2 linked regions of the Arabidopsis thaliana genome follow. The protein of the gene in region 2 interacts with the protein of the main gene of each other region in a pairwise test. Each region holds a gene or a part of one and is shown on either strand. Other genes may lie near its edges.

Region 1 (9,084 bases), on a different chromosome or scaffold from region 2:
TTTCATGTTGTCGTGAATGACTCACCACATCCACACTTTGTCGCGTTTGGATTGACGAACACAAACTCAGACCTGTGCCAATACAATGCAAACATGTTTACCATGAATAAAGAGAGTGTCAAGATTGGCACGTGAAAGGGCACAAACCTAAGCTTATCGTCCACGAAATCCATCTCTGTCCCAATCACATGCATCACCGCCTTTGGATCCACAAGGATCTTTACACCTTTCTCCTCGACCACCTCATCAAACTTCCCTTTCTCCTCTGAAAACAAAGATCATAGCAGAACAACGCCAAATAGGAAGCCTCAGGAGTCAGGACACATTTAAGTCATCTATTAAAAGTTCTCAAAAGTGCTACAAAACAAAAGGTCTTAGGTTCCTAGGAAGGTGACAAAACCTACCCTAAAACTTGACTCTGAACCTGATAGAATATGTGCCTTTAATTATTACATACATCTCTCTAATCAATATGAACTCCCTCCTCATCATGAGCATCAAATATATATCAACATAATTTATGAGGAAAAAATCAACAAAAAAGAAATATATATGTGGGAAAAAATGGAAATTACGGGCGTAATTGAGGACGTAAGATAGGCCATTGCATCCTTTGGCTTCAACAGCAAGGCGGAGGAAAGGTTTTTGCTGATGCTGCAGAAGTTGGCGAATCCTCGCAGCCGCCGTGTCACTCAATGCTAATACTTGCTTTCTCATCGCCGACCAAATATTCGAGGATTTCAAATTTGTGCTAAAGATTTTTCAGAGAGGAAGAAGACGTCCAAGCAAATTTGTTACAAGTTGATATTTAAAGAGCCATTGTACTTTAATATATAATTTAGTGAACAAGTCTTAAGAACTGTTTAGGCCTGTAAAGCCCGAAAGAATTAGTATTAGTAATATATAAAGTTTGTATTGAATATGGGATGATGAAACGATCTAGCTTCCAGAAAAAGTCTTAATTACACAACATAATAATAACTACCAAACGTGTCAACGCTCCCGTATTCGTCCACTAACATTCTCCCATGAACCCTAAGTTATAAGTCCTCCAAGGCTACGATCACATTTACAAGCGGAAAATTGTTGTGTTTGATTTGTTTCTTGTTTTATTCTCACTCTAAGCCTCTGGTTATATAGCATTTTTTGGCGGAAAAGCTAATCGCAAAACATGAGATTATAATTATGCGACATGTCAAATTGTTATGAAAACATTTTATATAATAAGAAATTTATTTGGTATAGTATCATATGAAACAAAGAGTCAATACAATATCAATGTCATTATATGTGCTCATTATGTTAAGTTGAGTCAAGGCACTTTACTAAGAACACTTCAATAATTATATTTAACTATTTCTGTGTATTCATACGTATGATACAAGGTTTGGTGTTCTATATACTTTATCCTCATCCCTTGAATTTTAGTTGGGCCAAAATAATGACATTAAAATTATAATATGTTGCTATATAAAAAATTGTTACAATTTGGATGCAACATAGAGAGATCATTAGCGAGACATTGGGTGGATCGTGCAATTCATTTCTGTTTTGTCAACTAGCAATTCAAATTATGGCGACATTATATACATTAATCCATATTACACAAAAACTAATAAACTATATATGTCTTGGATTCAAATAGAAGAAATAAAAGTCAACGAGTTTGCCCTATAAATGATTCTATGCTTTCAAATAGTTAGCTACAAGCTCATCAATCTCTGCTCTATTAAAAAAAGAAGAAGAAGCAAACACAAAACAACAACAAAGAAATATGGCAAAGCTCATAGTTAACTTCTCTGCTCTCTTGATGATCATCTTGTTGGTTTCTAATGGTAATTTTAAGATTTTCTTAACTTCCTTTGTCCTATATTAATATCGATATGGATGTGAAAAGATTAATGTGAGAATGGTTAAAACAGGACTCCCAAAGGCGGTAGCCCAAACATGCTTTAAAGGTGAAGCTCAAGAGGGTGTGTGTGTTAAAGTTGACGGCTCAAAATTGTGTGACCTTCTTTGCAGGGCAACCAACACAACTTGGTTTGGGGCATGTGAAGTGGAAGACAACGAGACGCACTGTCACTGCTACGGACCTTGTTAAGTATCTCATCCGGACGCAAAACCAAATATGAAACGTGAATAATTGTGTATCAGTACCTAAATAATGTGTGCATTGCTTATGATCAATGTCACATATCTACATGTGTGTTCCATGTTTGTGTGTTTTTATTTTATCGCTTTCAATAAATTTGCATCAGCACCGTAAATGTAGCTGATGCGATAAATGAATGTAAGATTAAATCTGTTTATTATGTTTGCTTTTGGTGTTCCATTATCTCTCCTATATATATGTCCTCTTCTTTTTCTTCATTCTTGTCATTAATCTATATGTATGTGCTATTTTTTGTTGAACAAAGGCTAATGAGTCTTATCTATAACACCAAATCAACTCCTAATAGTAATAGAACTCTTAACCTAAACTCAAAAGAAGTAAAGTACAAGGAAAACTCTAATCAAAAGTTCAAAACCATATTCCTAAACCATGAAACATAAAGGAATATCACAACCTCGAAACTCTTTTGCCGTAACGACTAGAGTTGCTTTTTGTTTTTAGTTAATTCAAATGATGACATTATTGTTCCAACTATGTAATGTAGCCACCACATTTTTCTTGTAATTTTTTTTGTTTCCTTCATAAAATTCATTTAGCAAATTTACACAAAAAATTCAATGAAAGTACATGAAATGAAATTTAAAGTACAATCATTTCCCATAGTTTTTTTTCTTACCAACACCAACATAACAGTGATAAATTGGAACAAAATTTTACCAAAATAAAAATAAAAATTTTATGAACAAAAGCATTTTTTATATATTTTTTAATTATTGGGGGTTTAATGAATTTGAGATATTTACTAGTCAGAAAACACCAAAACCCTCCGTTTCGTGGGTTTCCTCCAGACCTTGAGCTCCTTGTTCAATTCACACTTTTTCTCTCCCAACTCTTCTTCCAGGTTTCCTCTGCTACTCTCAGGTTTCTCTTCTCCACTTCCCTCCAGCTTTATCCTTTTGATTTCGTCCTCCATCTTACTGTATTTACCCAAAAATCTAAGCTTTTCTCAGTGTTCTTCCATTTCTCTACTTTGTTTTCATGTAATGCTGCAAACTTCGCAATACCCATCTTCAATTTCTTCAATTCGTAATGGGAAAAAGCATTTTAGTTTAATTTGGGTTTTGTGGTTCCTCACTTGTTTCATTCTTCTAAGTCTTAAACCATCCACTGATTCTCAATTTCTGAGGATTTGATATCTATTGCTGGTTAACAATGGAGCATAGATGCGACTGGGTTTTGTTTATGTTAACTTTATGAATGTAAATCACACTGCTTTGTGGCTACTTTGTGGATTTCGTGTTTTACTTTGTGGCTGAATCATATAACTCTAAATTGAGAGCTTTGGGTTTGACCATTTAGCTTTTTATGAACAGGTCTTGTTAGGGAAGTAATCAGTGGAATTGGATTTAGTCTTTTGGTTCTGAATTTTGTAAAGTCCTGCAGTGATTGGTCTCATTATGGCAACTTACGTTTCACCGTGTTTTACTCCTTCGGATTCTCGGTTACTAACTGTTCTTAGAAAGAATGTTTTACCGGAGAATCATTTAGGCAGGTTGAACTCCATTAGAACGATTGACAGTAAGAAAAACCGAGTTGTTGTTGCCGCTCAGAAATCTGAATCTTCTCCAATCAGAAACTCTCCACGGCATTACCAAAGCCAAGCTCAAGATCCTTTCTTGAACCTTCACCCGGAAATATCTATGCTTAGAGGTGAAGGGACTAGTACAATAGTCAATCCAAGAAAGGAAACGTCTTCTGGACCTGTTGTCGAGGATTTTGAAGAGCCATCTGCTCCGAGTAACTACAATGAGGCGAGGATTAAGGTTATTGGTGTGGGAGGTGGTGGATCAAATGCTGTGAATCGTATGATAGAGAGTGAAATGTCAGGTGTGGAGTTCTGGATTGTCAACACTGATATCCAGGCTATGAGAATGTCTCCTGTTTTGCCTGATAATAGGTTACAAATTGGTAAGGAGTTGACTAGGGGTTTAGGTGCTGGAGGAAATCCAGAAATCGGTATGAATGCTGCTAGAGAGAGCAAAGAAGTTATTGAAGAAGCTCTTTATGGCTCAGATATGGTCTTTGTCACAGTATGTCCTCAAATCTTTATTATTACTATTGCATTTGTTCTTCTTAGTTATAAACTTTGATTGTAGAAAAAGAGGTATGTGTCATTTGTCAATCACTTATCAGCTAGTTCTGGTCTCCATCTGTCCAAAAGAGTGAGGTTTATATGTCTCTTCATCATTTTATAGGCTGGAATGGGCGGTGGAACTGGCACTGGTGCAGCCCCTGTAATTGCAGGAATTGCCAAGGCGATGGGTATATTGACAGTTGGTATTGCCACTACGCCTTTCTCGTTTGAGGGTCGAAGAAGAACTGTTCAGGCTCAAGAAGGGCTTGCATCTCTCAGAGACAATGTTGACACTCTCATCGTCATTCCAAATGACAAGTTGCTTACAGCTGTCTCTCAGTCTACTCCGGTAACAGAAGCATTTAATCTAGCTGATGATATACTCCGTCAGGGGGTTCGTGGGATATCTGATATCATTACGGTATAGCTTTTCTTATGGGCATCCTGTGATCATTTTTTTGTGTATGGCAAATGATTTACCAGCTACGTTTGTCCTTGATTTGTAGATTCCTGGTTTGGTGAATGTGGATTTTGCTGATGTGAGAGCTATAATGGCAAATGCGGGGTCTTCATTGATGGGAATAGGAACTGCGACAGGTAAGTTTGGAATGATGGATAAGCTCATTTAGCTGCATAGTTTCATAAGCAGAACCATTAGTCACTAGATATGTGTCGAAATAGTCTAATTGAACTAATGAGCTAGTAGATTGGTGTGGCAAAGAAACCAGTCTAGTGACTGGGATACTGAAAATGACCATATTATATTCACTGTTACTCAACTATTGTGCATCTATGTCATGATGTAATAATCAAAGTCATGAACCTTGAACTTCTTTTGCGCAAGGTTTTGTTTTGTTTGCAACGTGCTGATTCTTTCATGCTACTTGTAATCATTCAGGAAAGAGTCGGGCAAGAGATGCTGCGCTAAATGCAATCCAATCTCCTTTGTTAGATATTGGGATTGAGAGAGCCACTGGAATTGTTTGGAACATTACTGGCGGAAGTGACTTGACATTGTTTGAGGTTTTTGTCTCTCTCTCTCATCTTTGTTTCTTATCTCTATGTCGATAGATCCATAAACAATAACTGGATCTTGAGAGACGCATTGACAGGGTGTTAAAATCATTTATTTTCTTCCTTCCATAGACAACTTAGAGCAAAGCCTGATTTTGCTTCATACCCCTAAGATGCTCTATAGTTTTTCATACACTTTGGTCTTGTGTAGGTAAATGCTGCTGCAGAAGTAATATATGATCTTGTCGATCCAACTGCCAATCTTATATTCGGTGCTGTTGTAGATCCAGCCCTCAGCGGTCAAGTATGTCCTTTATAATGTTTCTTCTACTAAACATAGATAAGACCTCTAGAGATGATAGAATTGATGTTTTTTTTGGTAAAAGGTAAGCATAACCCTGATAGCTACGGGTTTCAAACGACAAGAAGAGGGAGAAGGACGAACAGTTCAGATGGTACAAGCAGATGCTGCGTCAGTTGGAGCTACAAGAAGACCCTCTTCTTCCTTTAGAGAAAGCGGTTCAGTGGAGATCCCAGAGTTCTTGAAGAAGAAAGGCAGCTCTCGTTATCCCCGAGTCTAAAGCCCAATCTAATCACTACCCTGCACACTGCAGCAATAACAAACGTGTGTGTACTGGTAGTCTGGTACTGCCTTCTGGGATACAGCAAGATGTGTTGATGTATGATCAAGAATCTGTGTGGGTGTGTATATGTTCTGTCACTGCCTCTGGTCGTGTTCTTGAATAGGTTGTTTTAGAAATCGGAGTTTCTCTCTATGTCACTTCCAAAACAAAAAAGGAGAAGAAGAATCACACTTCTCGAACCATAAACATACTTATAAGATTATGAGAGTTTTAGCAGAAATTATTGTCATTTTTCATTCAGTTAATAAAAAAATCAATAGCGATATACCAGCAAACAACTGTGACTTTCGAATAAAAAAAGTTCATCTCCGACGCATGATTCTGTGGCAATGTGCAGCAACCAAACAAAGAACCAACTTGGTTTCCATTTCATATGTTCAAAATAAAATTTGTTGATACATAGATATAGCTTGGGTCTAGTTTACACAGATCAAACACAGGTTACAACATCCGGACTTGTTTCCTTGAGAATTTTCCAGTGCAGGACAAGCCATCCATCAATCTATTATATGTAAAGATATCAGGCAACATATCTTTATCCAACATCTCGTTCACTAGAACTTCTCCTTCCTTTCTTCTCCCTTCTTTCGTGAACCCCGAAACCAAAACATGGTACGTTGTCTCATCGGGTTCATATCCTTTGCTTGATGCCAAAAGTCTCAATCTGTTTGCATCAGTAGAATGATCAGAACTGCAGAGATCCCGAAGAAGCAAGTTAAATGTCACACTATCGGGAAGAATTCCTGCATTCATCATCTTCTCCATAAACCCTGACGCTTTCTCTGTTCTTCCTGATTTCCTCAACCCTTCGACGAGTGTAGTACAAGCAATGAAACATGGGGTTTGGCCTTTCTTCCACAGCTCCTCCATCATCTCCATTGCTCTAACCGCCTTGTTTTCTCCGCAGAGTTTCTCAACCAAACTACCATAATCAAACTCACTAGGTAAAACCCTCTTGTTCAAAAGATCGAGCACCAATCCACAAGCATCGTCAACCCGACCTTCTCTACACAACCCATCAACAAGAATCTCACAAGTAGCTTCTGAGAATCTACAACCTAGCTCAATCATCTCATAAGCCATTTTAACACCTTCCTCGATTTTACCACTGCTCAAAAACCCTCTAATAAGAGTGTTGAAGCTAACCACATTCGGTTCACAACCTTTCTCCTTCATCTCCCTGAACAAATCCAATGCCAAATCAAACTTAGAGCTTCTACAATAACCATTGATGAGAATGTTAAACGTGCATACATCTGGCTTTGCTCTTTCCTTTCCCATCCTCTGGTAAAACCTTAAAGCCTTATCCATATCTCCAGATTTCACATATCCATTCACAACAGTGTTATAAACTCCAACATTTGGTTTACCATCGATCAATCTCTTCATAGTATCAAACGCTAACAAAGCATAATCCATTTTCCTAGCTCTACAATACGCATCAATGGCGGATCGGAAAATAGGTTCAAGCTCTGGACAAGAGAATATACCTGAGGAACAAGGACATGGATTCGCAGCTACAAAAGAGAGAAGACGATAAAGATCGTCAAACCGGTGCGTGGCGGCGAGTGATCTCGACATCCAGAGGAAAGAATCGTGATCATGACGGAAAGTGTCGAGTGTAGCTGCCCAATTAAAGACGGCGAAGTCATAATGAGCGTAGAGCGGATGGTTACGGATCTTGGAACGGAGGAATCCAAGAAGAGTTTGTGGCGTTAGTGTTTGATGGTGAGGGAGATTGTTCTCGAGGAAATTGACGAAATTGGAGTGTTTGGGAGATGGAGAGAGCGTAAGTGTCGGAGGAATTGAGATCTCCGGAAGCTTTGGTGGAGGATTAGGTATTCGGTAAATCTCAGGTAACGGTGGCGTAATCGGCGCCGGAAGATGATGAGACTTTGAGACGAGACTGATAACGTTCTTCTTGTTCCATCGCATCACTCTCTGTTTGTCAAACGAATCGATAAATGTTGGGCATTTTTATCGATTTCCAATTTTAAACCAAACCGGAATAAACCGATATCTAAACCCTAGAATATCTAGAACCAGATACGTCACTGGTGCTTACTGATTACAGTTTCAGTTCCAAAGATGAGAACTTTGAGCTCCCAATTATACTCCAATGGTGGTCTCACTTGGTTCCAGAAGAAGAATCAGAGCTCTCTGTTCATCAAGCATCTCAGAGTCTCTAAACCATCGAGGGTTCAGCTCATATCTGCTGTTCAATTCCGTCCGTGCATCGATATTCATAAGGTATGAAATCAATTTCACCGATTAGAAAATCCTCACTGGCTGTTGAGTGCAGTGAATTCATTTATGGATCTATCTCTGTGTGATGTGATTTTCGATAGGGAAAAGTGAAACAGATAGTTGGATCCACACTTCGTGACTTGAAAGAGGATGGTTCAGTTCTCGTTACGAATTTTGAATCGGATAAGTCTGCGGAAGAGTATGCAAAGATGTACAAAGAAGATGGGCTTACGGGTGGTCATGTGATAATGCTTGGAGCAGACCCTTTAAGCCAAGCTGCAGCTATTGGAGCATTACATGCTTATCCTGGTATGTGTTTAGTTGAATGTCACATGGTGTTTGTTTTATATTGTTTGAATTTGAAATGTAAAGTTTTGATGTGTTATATATGATACAAGATGATGAATTCTAGGCGGTTTGCAAGTTGGAGGTGGAATCAATTCTGAGAATTGCATGAGTTATATTGAGGAGGGAGCAAGCCATGTCATTGTCACTTCGGTATAGCTGTCATCTAGCTTGATTGAATATGTTATCATAGTAAGTATAGCTGATGATAATTATGTTTTCGTTTTGTATTTCAGTATGTATTTAACAATGGAAAGATTGATCTTGAAAGACTCAAAGATATTGTGAGCATTGTTGGGAAACAAAGACTGATATTGGACCTTAGCTGCAGAAAGAAGGTGATTCTCTGACTAGTTTCATCTTCAGTTTAATGTTATTGGTCATGAAAAGAAGATCGGCATTTGAGGTATTTATATGGTTATTTTGTTGCGCAGGATGGAAGATACGCAATTGTTACTGATAGATGGCAGAAGTTCAGCGACGTCATCCTTGACGAGAAATCATTGGAGTTTCTTGGAGGATTTTCAGATGAGTTTCTGGTGCATGGCGTAGACGTTGAAGGAAAGAAGTAAGCTTTAAATATCTCA
Region 2 (11,259 bases):
TTGCATATTGTCTAATGTCTTTCCGAAACAAATTGTTTCACTTTGGTTTTCTTATATTGTGTTCTGTTTTTGTTGTGTCGTTTAAAGTTTAAAAGGTGTAGTTGTTTGAACTTTGAACCTAGGGAATTGGATCAAAAATAAAGTTGGGTTTTAATATTGATTAAACCAATATTGGGTTCACGGTTTTAGTATATGAAACCATTAAAAACAACGCCATAGCTAATCAATTTTTAATACATTTAAATAAAAAACTGTACCAATAATTATTAAGACCAGCTTTGATTCCCATTATTAATTCATATTAAAAAAAATGTGAATGTAAATGCTAAATTTGATGGACCTTCATGAAAAAAAAAATTCTCTCTTTCCACTAATTAATTCTTCTACTATATATTAACAAGTTAGACCATTTTCAATGATTGTCTCTATTTTTTCTTGTAAATACAGAGAAAAAATAGAAATCTCTATTTTTACTCCAATGGTTCCTAAAAATAGAAATCTTTATGTTAGAGATAAAAATAGAGATGAGTTAAAGATGCCCTTAAGATTCTTCTGATCTATTAAAACTTTTGTAGAAGCATGAGACAGCACACGAAAGTGGAACCTTATAGCAAAACGATCCCAAAATAGACCAATTTCGTCTCTTTTTCTCAAACCTCTGCTATTTATCTTGACTAAGAATTAAAATATTTATTAAAATGAAATTGTTTAGGTTTTACAAAATTTGTTAAAACATGGAAGCAAAAACCATACTCAGAATTTCAACCATCGACAGAAGTAACTTCACCTTTTACCAAAAACAAAAAAGACCATCGAGAGAAGCAATTCAGCTCACGAGTCAGATGAAGTGATAATCCCAAGGAAGAGGATAAAAGAGAAGTAACTTGACCAGAAGAGGATAATCCTGGATTTGGAGATAGAGATACATAAATCGACGAGTACAGAGAGTTCTAAAAGAGAAAACTCATATATCCACATACATAATATTGTGAGATCTATATGTTTCTTGTGTGAGAAGTAAACACTCAAAGCCCTAAATCTCAATAACATGTTAATACAACTTAGGATATGCTTGTGAAACAATTTCAAACATAAAAGAAAAACAACGATATAGAGTAATAGAGAGGTAAAATAATGATGTGAATGATTTCCTTTACTTGTATTTTTCGACTTTATGAAGTGTTTGTGTTAATTTTCATATTCACTTACGTTCACCGGTTCATATAATATGTCGCTCATATAATATGTAATATTGTTCCATATTAACAATGAATTTATACGATCTTTTTTATTTGTAAGATAGAACATAAGGGTAGATTCTTGGTAAATGCCACCAATGCTTTCAGTTGTGTGTTTGACAAGGCAACGCATTCATGGTTTTCAAATTTCAATATTTGATTGGATACAATTTTCTCTAATATCTGTATTTTGATCGTTTTGGGCCTTTTGGCCAATAGTGTAAAAAGCTTAGCCAGGTCATAGGTTAGCTGAGGATATATCTGTCTACATTCTTATTTTAGGGTTTAGAGAATATATAGATGTTTGTTTGAGGAAGAAGAAACCCCAATAAAGCCTTAATTATCACCCATTATTAGAATTTGCCTTCTAATTCTATCTTTTTCTTAAATCCATTATTCTTCTCAACCTAAACCTTTTTTCTCTCTCCCTTCATCTTCAAGCAAGGGGTTCCAATTCCGGTAGGAATGTATTGAAGAAAGAGAGGGTATAGAAAATGGCGAGTGGCGGAAAGGGGGAGAAGATATTGGTTTCGGTAAGGGTAAGGCCGCAGAACGAGAAAGAGAAGGCGAGGAATGATATATGTGATTGGGAATGTGTAAACAACACAACAATAGTATGCAATAACAATTTGCCTGAGAGGTCTCTCTTCCCCTCTACCTATACATTTGGTAAGATGTTCAGAAATATTCAAGGCTGATTCAACCATTGTGGAATCATGATGCTAAGATTTTTTTTAAATTTTGTTTTACAGACAAAGTGTTTGGATTTGATTCTCCCACGAAACAAGTCTATGAAGATGGAGCGAAGGAGGTTGCTCTTTGTGTTCTCGGCGGAATCAACTGTAACCAAAAAACAACCTTAAATACTTTGATCTAATTTGTCTTTGTAACAATGAATTTGGTTTGACACATTTGGTTTTGCAGCAAGTATTTTCGCATATGGACAGACAAGCAGTGGGAAGACGTATACAATGTGTGGCATCACTAAATTTGCAATGGATGACATTTTTTGTTACATTCAAAAGGTTTGAACAAAAACCCTGCGGCATTGACATCTCTTTCTTATTTCTTCCTTCATAAGTAACCAAACTTTTTCATTTTCTTCAGCATACGGACCGCAAATTTACCCTCAAATTCTCTGCGATTGAGATCTACAATGAAGCTGTGAGGGATCTCCTAAGTGGGGATAATAATCAACGGAGGCTCCTCGATGATCCAGAGGTACACATCGCGTGTTTTTCGATATTATGCTATCATATTGTGTTAGACCCACTCATTTCCATCCGCTTGCTTCATCAGAGAGGAACCGTCGTTGAGAAACTTATTGAGGAGACCATCCAAGACAGAACACATCTAGAGGAACTTCTTACAGTCTGTGAAAGTGAGTAACATGCCCGGGCTTACAAATATTTCAATTAAGTTGAACGTTAACTAATGTACCAGTGTTGTTGCAGCTCAGAGGAAGATTGGAGAGACCTCCCTGAATGAAGTTAGCTCTAGATCACATCAAATACTCCGGCTGGTACATATTCTCAGTTAATCCATCCTTTTGTTCGTCGATTCTAACTTTTCATCCTCGCTATGCTAAACAATGCATTTCCTGCAGACAATCGAAAGCACTGGTCGAGAATATTCTCCGGATAGCTCAAGCACTCTTGCAGCGTCCGTGGTATTATACAATTACAATGAGTAGTGTTTTTGATTGATTAAGCTTACTACCTTTTTCTTTCTCTGCTGACATGTGTTTTTGGTTCTCTGCCTCTCAAGTGCTTCATTGATCTGGCTGGAAGTGAACGTGCTTCTCAGACTTTATCTGCTGGTACAAGATTGAAAGAAGGTTGTCATATAAACAGGAGTTTACTTACTCTTGGAACGGTCATCCGCAAACTAAGGTTCGATCCATGTGATATAGCTCAATCTCAGGTGGAGAATTTACTTAAATCAACAGCAGAAGAGCGGTCTTCTAGGATGGATGAACAATCCATGTTTAGCTCCATGGATTTTGATGCTGATTTCCGAAGAAGAAGCTATGATTCAACAGATCTTGGAGAACCTAGTATCATCAATAACTTAACCGAGAGGAACTTTGAGTTTTTGGAAAATTCTGAAGAAGATGATTTCCTGCTAGATGATAAGACCCCTCAATTTTCGAGGCATAACCTGTATGATGACTGGGAAGAGTTGGTTCAAATAACCGACGAAAGACTGGAAGATGCATGCAAAGAAGTTAGATGCATTGAACCTGAAGCTGAGCAGAGTAGTGGACAACCAGCAGCATGCGAAAGCCATGACTCATTAGACGACATTGTTGATAAGATAGCTATCTCTGAGGTTCTCTCACCTAGAAAGGAAGAAACTTTACCAGGTCTGGAACACGAACAAAGCTATAACCCTTCTACAGGTATTGAGAAAGCCGAGAATGAAGACATGGAGATTAGCATACCTGCAGCAAAGGAAGAAACTTTACCAGCTCTAGAATACGAACAAAGCTATAACTCTTATACAGGTAATGAGAGAGCCGAGAATGAAGTCATGGAGATTAGCACACCTAGAAAGGACGAACCATTATCAGCTCTGGAATACGAACAAAGCTATAACTCTTCTACAAGTAATGAGAAAGCCGAGAATGAAGATATGGAGATTAGCACACCTGCAGAAAAGGAAAATGTTGACTTATCTTTAAAAACAATAGATGTGAATGCTAAGCCTGAGACCTATGAGCTAACTCTAAAGAACTCGGATTTGGAGATAGGCCCATCAGTTGAAGCTCAAGAATCACAGGAATCTGTGAATGAAGAGGAACAAATGAAGAATGAAGAGAGGAAAATGAGTCCTTCCACAAAGCAAGCTGAGCAATGCTTAAATAAAGAAGAAAATGCTCAGTCAGAACAGCAATCAACGGAAGACTGTGAATTGAATTCACTCCCTATTAATAACCAATCAGAAGCAACAGTCGAAGTGGAGTTAACACCCAACGATGCTAAGTTAGATGAGGATGCGACATCTAGAGATAAGTGGGAGAGCAAACAGCAACAAGAGGCTGATAAAGATTGTAACGAATCATCTGTCTGCAAAAATATTGGGACAGATGATAATGACAACGACACTTACATGGCTTTGAAAGAAAAAGTTAAGGAGATGCAGAAGAAAATTGAATACCTTATGAGCATGCACACAGCAGAACAACAACAATCACCCTCCTTCAGAAGAGATTTCAAGAGTCCTCCAGAATATTTTACTGCCAAAAGAAGCCGAAGTTGCAGAGAAAATCTCTTGAGTGTTAGATCTCCTCATTGGTTTGAGAGTTTGGAAGTTAGTAACAATACATCACCTACCTGGAGGGTTATGCAGACAAAAGCTTCTCCTGGAAGACCCAACACTTCGAGCATTTCCTTTGATTCAGGGAGTTCTACCTCCATTGATACGCGTAGCCTGAAAGACTATGATCCTGAGATGGGCAATAGCTTCCGTGAATTTGTAGCAGGGCTTGAGGAAATGGCAAAGAAGCATCACTCAATTGACTCGACACCGGAGCTAGATTATGGGATTCCATACGCTCCCACAAAAACCGAAAGAATGGAGATCAGACCGGAAAGCCCTGCAGATAGCGTTAGAGGAAACGAGAATGCATTGCCAAATCCTCAGGATATAAATAAAGAAACCACAGATGCCACCAATAATCAGTCACAGAGAGAGCAGGTTGGTGATTCGGTAAGCCAAAAAAAATATTTTCTTGGGGAGACAAAAACTTCTTTCGTTTCTCAACAGTTTGGATGATCACAAAATGCAGGTAGAAGAAGCAAAACCTAAGGAAACAGATTCCACAGAGGCTTCCCAGGAGAAACTACAGGTAGCTGCTAATGGACAATATTCAATCAGTTCTTCAGACTTTGAGAGACAGCAAAGGAAAATAATTGAGCTTTGGGCAGCATGCAATGTACCACTGGTTCACAGAACCTACTTCTTTTTGCTCTTCAAAGGTGATCCTTCAGACTATGTTTATATGGAAGTTGAACTTCGAAGGCTATCTTTTCTGAAGCAGACGATATCTAATGACATGGAAACATCAAGGTATTTTTCTGCAACACCTTTTTAACGAGTCTCATCAATATCAATCATATACTCATAAGTATGCTAACCAATTCCTTTGGTGTCTAATCAGGATGCAAACAGTGAAGGCACTCACACGCGAGAAGGAATGGATTTCCAAACAATTACCAAAGAAGTTTCCATGGAACCAAAGAATAGGGCTTTACCAAAAATGGGGCGTGGAGGTGAACTCAAAGCAGAGAAGCCTGCAAGTGGCGCACAAGCTGTGGACCAACACCCAAGATATGGACCACATAAAAGAAAGTGCTTCTCTTGTGGCTAAGCTGCTTGGATTTGTTGAGCCAAGTCGAATGCCGAAGGAAATGTTTGGCCTCAGCTTGTTACCTAGAACCGAAAACGTAAAATCATCTGGCTGGAGATTTACCAAATCATTCTCTGCTATACGCTTGACCAGATGATAACCAGAGCACAATTATAAAACATAAACAAGACAGAAGTCTCCAAACACTGATAGTTAAGTTGTGAAAGGCTTGAATGTAAGATAAGTCAAGTTCTGCTTGTACCTGATTGCGAAAGAATCCAAAATTGTAGCCCTTATGTTATAGTTTAGATCAAGGAAAAGGGTGTGCCAAGAACGTTAATTTTTTTGTGTTCATTTATAAACACTAACTTAGAGAGAGAATTTACAAAACAAAGAGAATCTCGCAAGCTCAGACATGCTACATATGAGTATATTATGATGCAAGAACAGAGCCTTCAGTGATTTTCCACCCTGACTTGGACCAGAAAACTTCGTATCTTGTTGTGTAGGTTCTGACATCAGTAGCATTGTTTTCTGGATGAACCAAATCAGATAGACAAGCAGACTCCTCCAGAGTTGCTTCCACCAGAGCACGGGTTCCATCTGCTGAGACTGTCACACTGTCAACAGATAGTTTCAACAGTGTATAATCATAAACCAACCCAAGCTGCGCAGTTTCAGCTGCTCTGTCAGTCCAAATCTTCAGCATTCGCCCATCCAAAACCTATAAATAACAGAATCAAACAAGGCACCAGACTATAATCATGTCCAACAGTTTTCACACAATTGATTGAATTGTAGATTTATTCCCTCACCTCTGGTAACATTTCTATGCGGTGATCAGGCCCAAAAGCCAGAGACTTAATCTTCTGCCACTTGGATACTATATTCTCTGCAGTCCTAGCATCCATTCTGGGAAGTGCTTCTGAATCGTCAGCTCTGACTGACCCTAAATCGAAAAGAAAAAAATCAAGGAAAGAAAAGTTGGACAAAGCCACACTAAGGCAATCTCTAATCCTACGTTATTCTAAACAGAAATGTTGAGAGTGAAATTTACATTTCTGTCTACAGTTTGATCAAAAAATTCAAGCAGCATAATTAGTGAAATTTACTCAGCAACTTGTTAATCTTGGTACAACTTTTGGGACATGTATTAAGTGGGAACTATGTTCTTAGCTCACAAAACAAGCATATTTTGAGCAATGCAGATATATGAAAATTGCATCATTTAATCATACCTATGGTAGCGACATCAGATTCCATAGAAGAAACCATATCCTTGCGTTGAAAAGATGAGCTGCTTTTAAGAAAATACTTCTGGCTGAACAGTGAAATCAGTCCAATTGCCACACCAGCAGCTAGGATCTTCACACTTGCCTCCTTTAACATATCAGCAACGGACATTTCAACAGTAGTTTCATCAACGCTACTCTCTGAGACCCCAGCTCGAATTGCATAATCATTAGTTTCAAAGTTTTCAGAGGGTCTTACAGCTTCTGCAATAAAGACACCAGGCTCACCATCACGGCCTACATTGTTACCAACAGGATCTACACTAAACACTGTCTCTTGCACATCCTTGGGTTCAGCCGAGTTTCTATCTGTATAGCGGGAAGGAAAAACTTTCTGCAGTGCCTGCATAGCACTAGCTTTCACATGCTCGGCTCCAATCCTTGCCATAGCTGCAGCAGCAGCTAAAGGAGAACCCTGAACTACCTCCACTCTTTCCAAGTAACTCAAAACCATAGGATCATCATAGTAGTCCCCGAGTTTAAATTTTTTATCTTTGGTGTCTCTGAACCTAGGAAAGACAACCCCTGCCAACCAGGTTTCCAACAATTTGCATAGTCCAGGGAGATCATCATTGTCATCACGATTTGAATTCTCCAAAACAAACTCCACAATAGCTGGATTCCTATATTGTGAATCCTCACTGTCTAAGCCCAACCACATACGGCATTCATCAACTTTGCCTATAAGCAGTGCACAGAGTCCCCTTTCTAGACCGAAGTCTATCTCCCAATTATTCCGTGTATCATACAACATCGCAGGAATCTCCATAGCCATTACCTTAGCCTGCTGAAGTTGCTGGAATTGCTTATCAGCATCCTGTAAAAGGTGTGGCTTCTTACCAATAAAAGCTTGAGCCACAAGAGCAAGTGCAACTTCGTAAACTTCAAATGACTCTGCTGGAATATTGCTTGGGGTAGCTACAAAAAGATCAACCTACCACACAACATACATTAAAATGAGAAACCTAAAGTTATATCATGCTAAAGAAATTAAAAAAAGGTATCTAAACTGTATACCTGCTCAGCAGCTGTCATTCGTAAAAACGCCTCATTCATAAACTTCTCACGGGTCAAACCCCCAACAAGAGCTGATGCTCCACCTCCTCCAACAGACCACAAAATATTCCGCACACCGCTTAAACCATTTAGTCTTTTCGCAGCGTAATCATCACCAAGCGGTAAGCCAAGTAGCTCCAAGACATAACGCGGAGTGATCTCTTCCAAAGTCTCATCAATTTGTGCACGTAAATCCGGTGCAAGGCTACTTGCTCCTTCCTCCTACACAAGACTCAATAACAAAGTATCAAATCAAGAAAGTTCTTATAAAGCCAACGCTCGTCAAATTACCAAAGCAAGTCAAACTACCTGTAAAAGCTTCAAAGCTTCCTCAACAAACTCATAACCAGTTATAAAATCAGGTGGATCCAATGCCATAGCATCCCTCGAGACATCGAGAAACGCAAGCGCCATAACTAAAACCACATCTTGCTTAAACGACTTAGGCAACCTCTCCTTAAGCAGAGCCTCACCAACCCGAAGAACTATCTCAGTCTCACCACCTTCTTGCAATACACAGAGAGCACCAGGAACCTTCACTAGATAAAAGTTCCTTCCTTTATCCAATTCATGAAATTAAAACGAAGAAACTTTATTATTCCGAAATCGAAATTACCTTATCCCAAGGAACATCAGTGATGACTGTAGCTTCTTCATCATCAAGAAGACCTTCATTGTACTCTCTTCTAGACCGAGGATTAGACAGAGTTTCGCAAGCAGCTTGAAGAATCTGTCTCCGGCTGATTAAAGCGTCGTCGCTGAAACCGAATTGCGGCGGTTTCGAAACCCTAGCTTCGAATGCTCTTCTGATTCCATCGGTTAAGAAATGTGTTTGAGCTCCTAATACCTGGTAGAAATCAATGGGGATGGGGACGTGGCGTTCGGGACGATCAATAGATGGTGGCGGAGAGACGAGAGTGGCGGTGGTGGTGGCGGTGGCGAAGGAGGAGGAGGAGGAATCGGAGGTGAAATTGAAGTCGGAGAGAAGACGGTCGGCCCATTTGCTGGCGGAGCAGATAGTTGTAGAGGTGTTGTGGCTACGTCGGAGCTTTGTCGTCGCCGGTGGTAATCGGCATAATTGGAATGGGGAGAGACCAATGCCGACGTGACTCAGAGCTTCCATGGGAGTGTCTTTTTAGGCTACTACAAAAACTTTGTTCTGTTTTACATATTGAAGAGACTGTTTGGTCGTCTAGGGTTTATGGAATTTTGATTTTGAGTAGTATAAGTTAAATCAAAAAACATCACCAGCTACTGAAAAAAATAAAAAACAATCTATGATGTTACAGTCGCCACGGACTTTATGATGTTAAATCGTCTAAATAATCTATTCCACCTAAGAACCGTTGGAGTTGCCTTCATTTTACACATATAGAGCAACAGTAAACCAATGACTTAATTCTTGACTACTTTAAAGTTTAAACCCACAAAACCCCATCAATTCCCTCTCTTTTCTTAACATCCAACTGAAATGTGTAAAATTCGAAACTATTATGACATGTAAATGTAAAAGCAAACAGAGCCAATGAATCCTATAGCCAAGCAAAATCTTGTTGAAATCAAGACAAATTGCTTATAATTGTATTCTCCTTAATGCAGAACAGTAATCCATTTCAGTTTACATAGCAAGAGGAGTGTCACATAAAATTTGGACAATACTAACTTTCGAAATAGATACACTAATGTTGGAGCAGAGCTTCGTTACAATATTTTTTAAAGTTGACAGCCTCGTCGGTCAGGAAGTCACTGCAAAAAAGTAAAATTTTAAATGTTCAGAAGGAGAATTAGTTAAATAAGACATCTAAGAAAGAGTCCATAGAGACTAACCACAGTCGCTCAGCCATGCGTCCCACTTCCCATCTTGGACTCCATGGGTACTCAGTGAGGAGATTCGATTTCACTGGCACACTCGATTGGTTTAAATGCTGCATATAAAAAGCTTGTCAATTTTTATACCTAAATAAATAAAGAGAAAGTCGAAGCCTTCTACTTAGTTCGTTTACAAATAGTTTTGATACCTGACAACTTTGCAGCATCAGAGTTGGTTGCTGCTTCGGAAATTGAGTTGAAAAGAAGAAATGAACCTACAGCAAAGCCAAAAACCCAATAATCCACTGCTACATATTTTTGTGAAATTGAGATTTCTCTAGAAGACAAGTATGAAAATCCACTTTGGCAAAGATTGAATAGAACTTTTTAAACAAGGCTTGAATAGTGATAGAATAATTACCATGAAAGTAAATTGTCCAGAGGCATTAAGGAATGTAGCCTTACGGCAAAAGGTCTAGCAAGAAAAACAAATAAGAAAGTTAAGAAGCTCGGAAATAGTTCTAAATATATGTCAAGGCGTGCGAAGAAATGCTTACAGGATCGGCTTCAAGAGGTCTTCCCAGATTAAGACTTAATGCCTCAATAAAACTCCTCCTTAAATCAATTGCAGCAACAGCTTCATGGATCTAGAAATTAAGGTAAATAAGGCACTCGTACTCAGGAAATTAAGAAGATTTAGTTTAACTGACCTGTCTCTCAAGTGTTTCTTCAAGATGGGGAAGATATTCAGCCAAGCACCTTTGAAATAGAAATGTAAGTATTACTGATTAATACATGTATGGTTTGCAGGTATAGTGAACTGTGTGTACATCTGTAACTAACTTACATCCCGTCCATCCATGGAGAAAGTTTAACATCCTCAACAGAGAATAGCGATTTTAAATCATAATATGATACTAATTTCAAACGAGGTGCTGACGGTGCTGCTTCATATTTCCGAAGAATCGGGTATACTACCTGGATCCGCAACAAGTTTCTCAAGAAGATGCCAGCAATTTTAACAGAGTGAAGAAAAGGATAAAATTATAAGAACGAAGAGAAAACCTGAAGATAAATCTTCTGCTGATGCTTCCAAGGGCAGCCAACCACCATTTTGTTTATGTTCATATCCATCACAAGAGGTACTGCAAACTTGACTTCCTCTGGCTACACTAAAAAATAAAGGCAATGGAAAGTCAAATGCATACAATGCATCTAACTTCAAAGATAAATAATCAAAAATCTTGACAACAATAAATACCTTGTCAACTCCTGAAGCCATTTGCATTTCAATTCCCTGAGAATCAGCAAACAAGAAGAACATAAACATAGAGAACAATAAGAAATTCTAACTAAAATAGTGGTTACAGTTGTTCCGAACCAAAATTACTTATCAAACCGTAGTTAGTGACAAGCCTAACATTAAACAGAATCTATACGCTCGAAGAGGCCTTAGCTACACAAACAAAACTAATCATGATTTCTATCGTAAACAAAGTAACAAGAGTGATAC

The links.
Region 1: the proteins of ARC6 (region 2) and FTSZ2-1 interact in a two-hybrid assay, tested with the Arabidopsis thaliana proteins (3 studies listed by BioGRID, with this or other methods).

What each region holds. Positions count from the first base shown.
Region 1 is NC_003071.7:15,194,419-15,203,502, reverse strand, and holds FTSZ2-1 (Tubulin/FtsZ family protein), read left to right. Parts: upstream 1-2,899; 5' UTR 2,900-3,034; exon of another isoform or gene 3,035-3,486; 5' UTR 3,487-3,570; coding exon 3,571-4,203; intron 4,204-4,368; coding exon 4,369-4,668; intron 4,669-4,753; coding exon 4,754-4,844; intron 4,845-5,145; coding exon 5,146-5,270; intron 5,271-5,472; coding exon 5,473-5,565; intron 5,566-5,647; coding exon 5,648-5,842; 3' UTR 5,843-6,134; downstream 6,135-9,084. Other genes in the region: AT2G36260 (Iron-sulfur cluster biosynthesis family protein), read right to left, coding at 3-72, 148-265, 576-717; AT2G36255 (Defensin-like (DEFL) family protein), read left to right, coding at 1,775-1,835, 1,923-2,101; AT2G36240 (pentatricopeptide (PPR) repeat-containing protein), read right to left, coding at 6,347-7,840; APG10 (Aldolase-type TIM barrel family protein), read left to right, coding at 7,994-8,155, 8,254-8,461, 8,565-8,650, 8,734-8,835, 8,932-9,065. UniProt on the Arabidopsis thaliana protein: Exhibits GTPase activity which converts GTP ligands to GDP.
Region 2 is NC_003076.8:16,983,096-16,994,354, reverse strand, and holds ARC6 (Chaperone DnaJ-domain superfamily protein), read right to left. Parts: upstream 9,260-11,259; 5' UTR 9,061-9,259; coding exon 8,554-9,060; intron 8,472-8,553; coding exon 8,247-8,471; intron 8,160-8,246; coding exon 7,899-8,159; intron 7,816-7,898; coding exon 6,828-7,815; intron 6,539-6,827; coding exon 6,405-6,538; coding exon of another isoform or gene 6,393-6,404; exon of another isoform or gene 6,314-6,392; coding exon 6,023-6,313; 3' UTR 5,747-6,022; downstream 1-5,746. Other genes in the region: AT5G42490 (ATP binding microtubule motor family protein), read left to right, coding at 1,733-1,907, 1,991-2,080, 2,163-2,263, 2,346-2,459, 2,538-2,619, 2,693-2,760, 2,845-2,907, 3,006-4,949 and 2 more; AT5G42470 (BRCA1-A complex subunit BRE-like protein), read right to left, coding at 9,617-9,683, 9,765-9,862, 9,956-10,021, 10,168-10,221, 10,304-10,393, 10,457-10,505, 10,594-10,724, 10,812-10,913 and 1 more. UniProt on the Arabidopsis thaliana protein: Component of the plastid division machinery consisting in a binary fission accomplished by the simultaneous constriction of the FtsZ ring on the stromal side of the inner envelope membrane, and the ARC5 ring on the cytosolic side of the outer envelope membrane.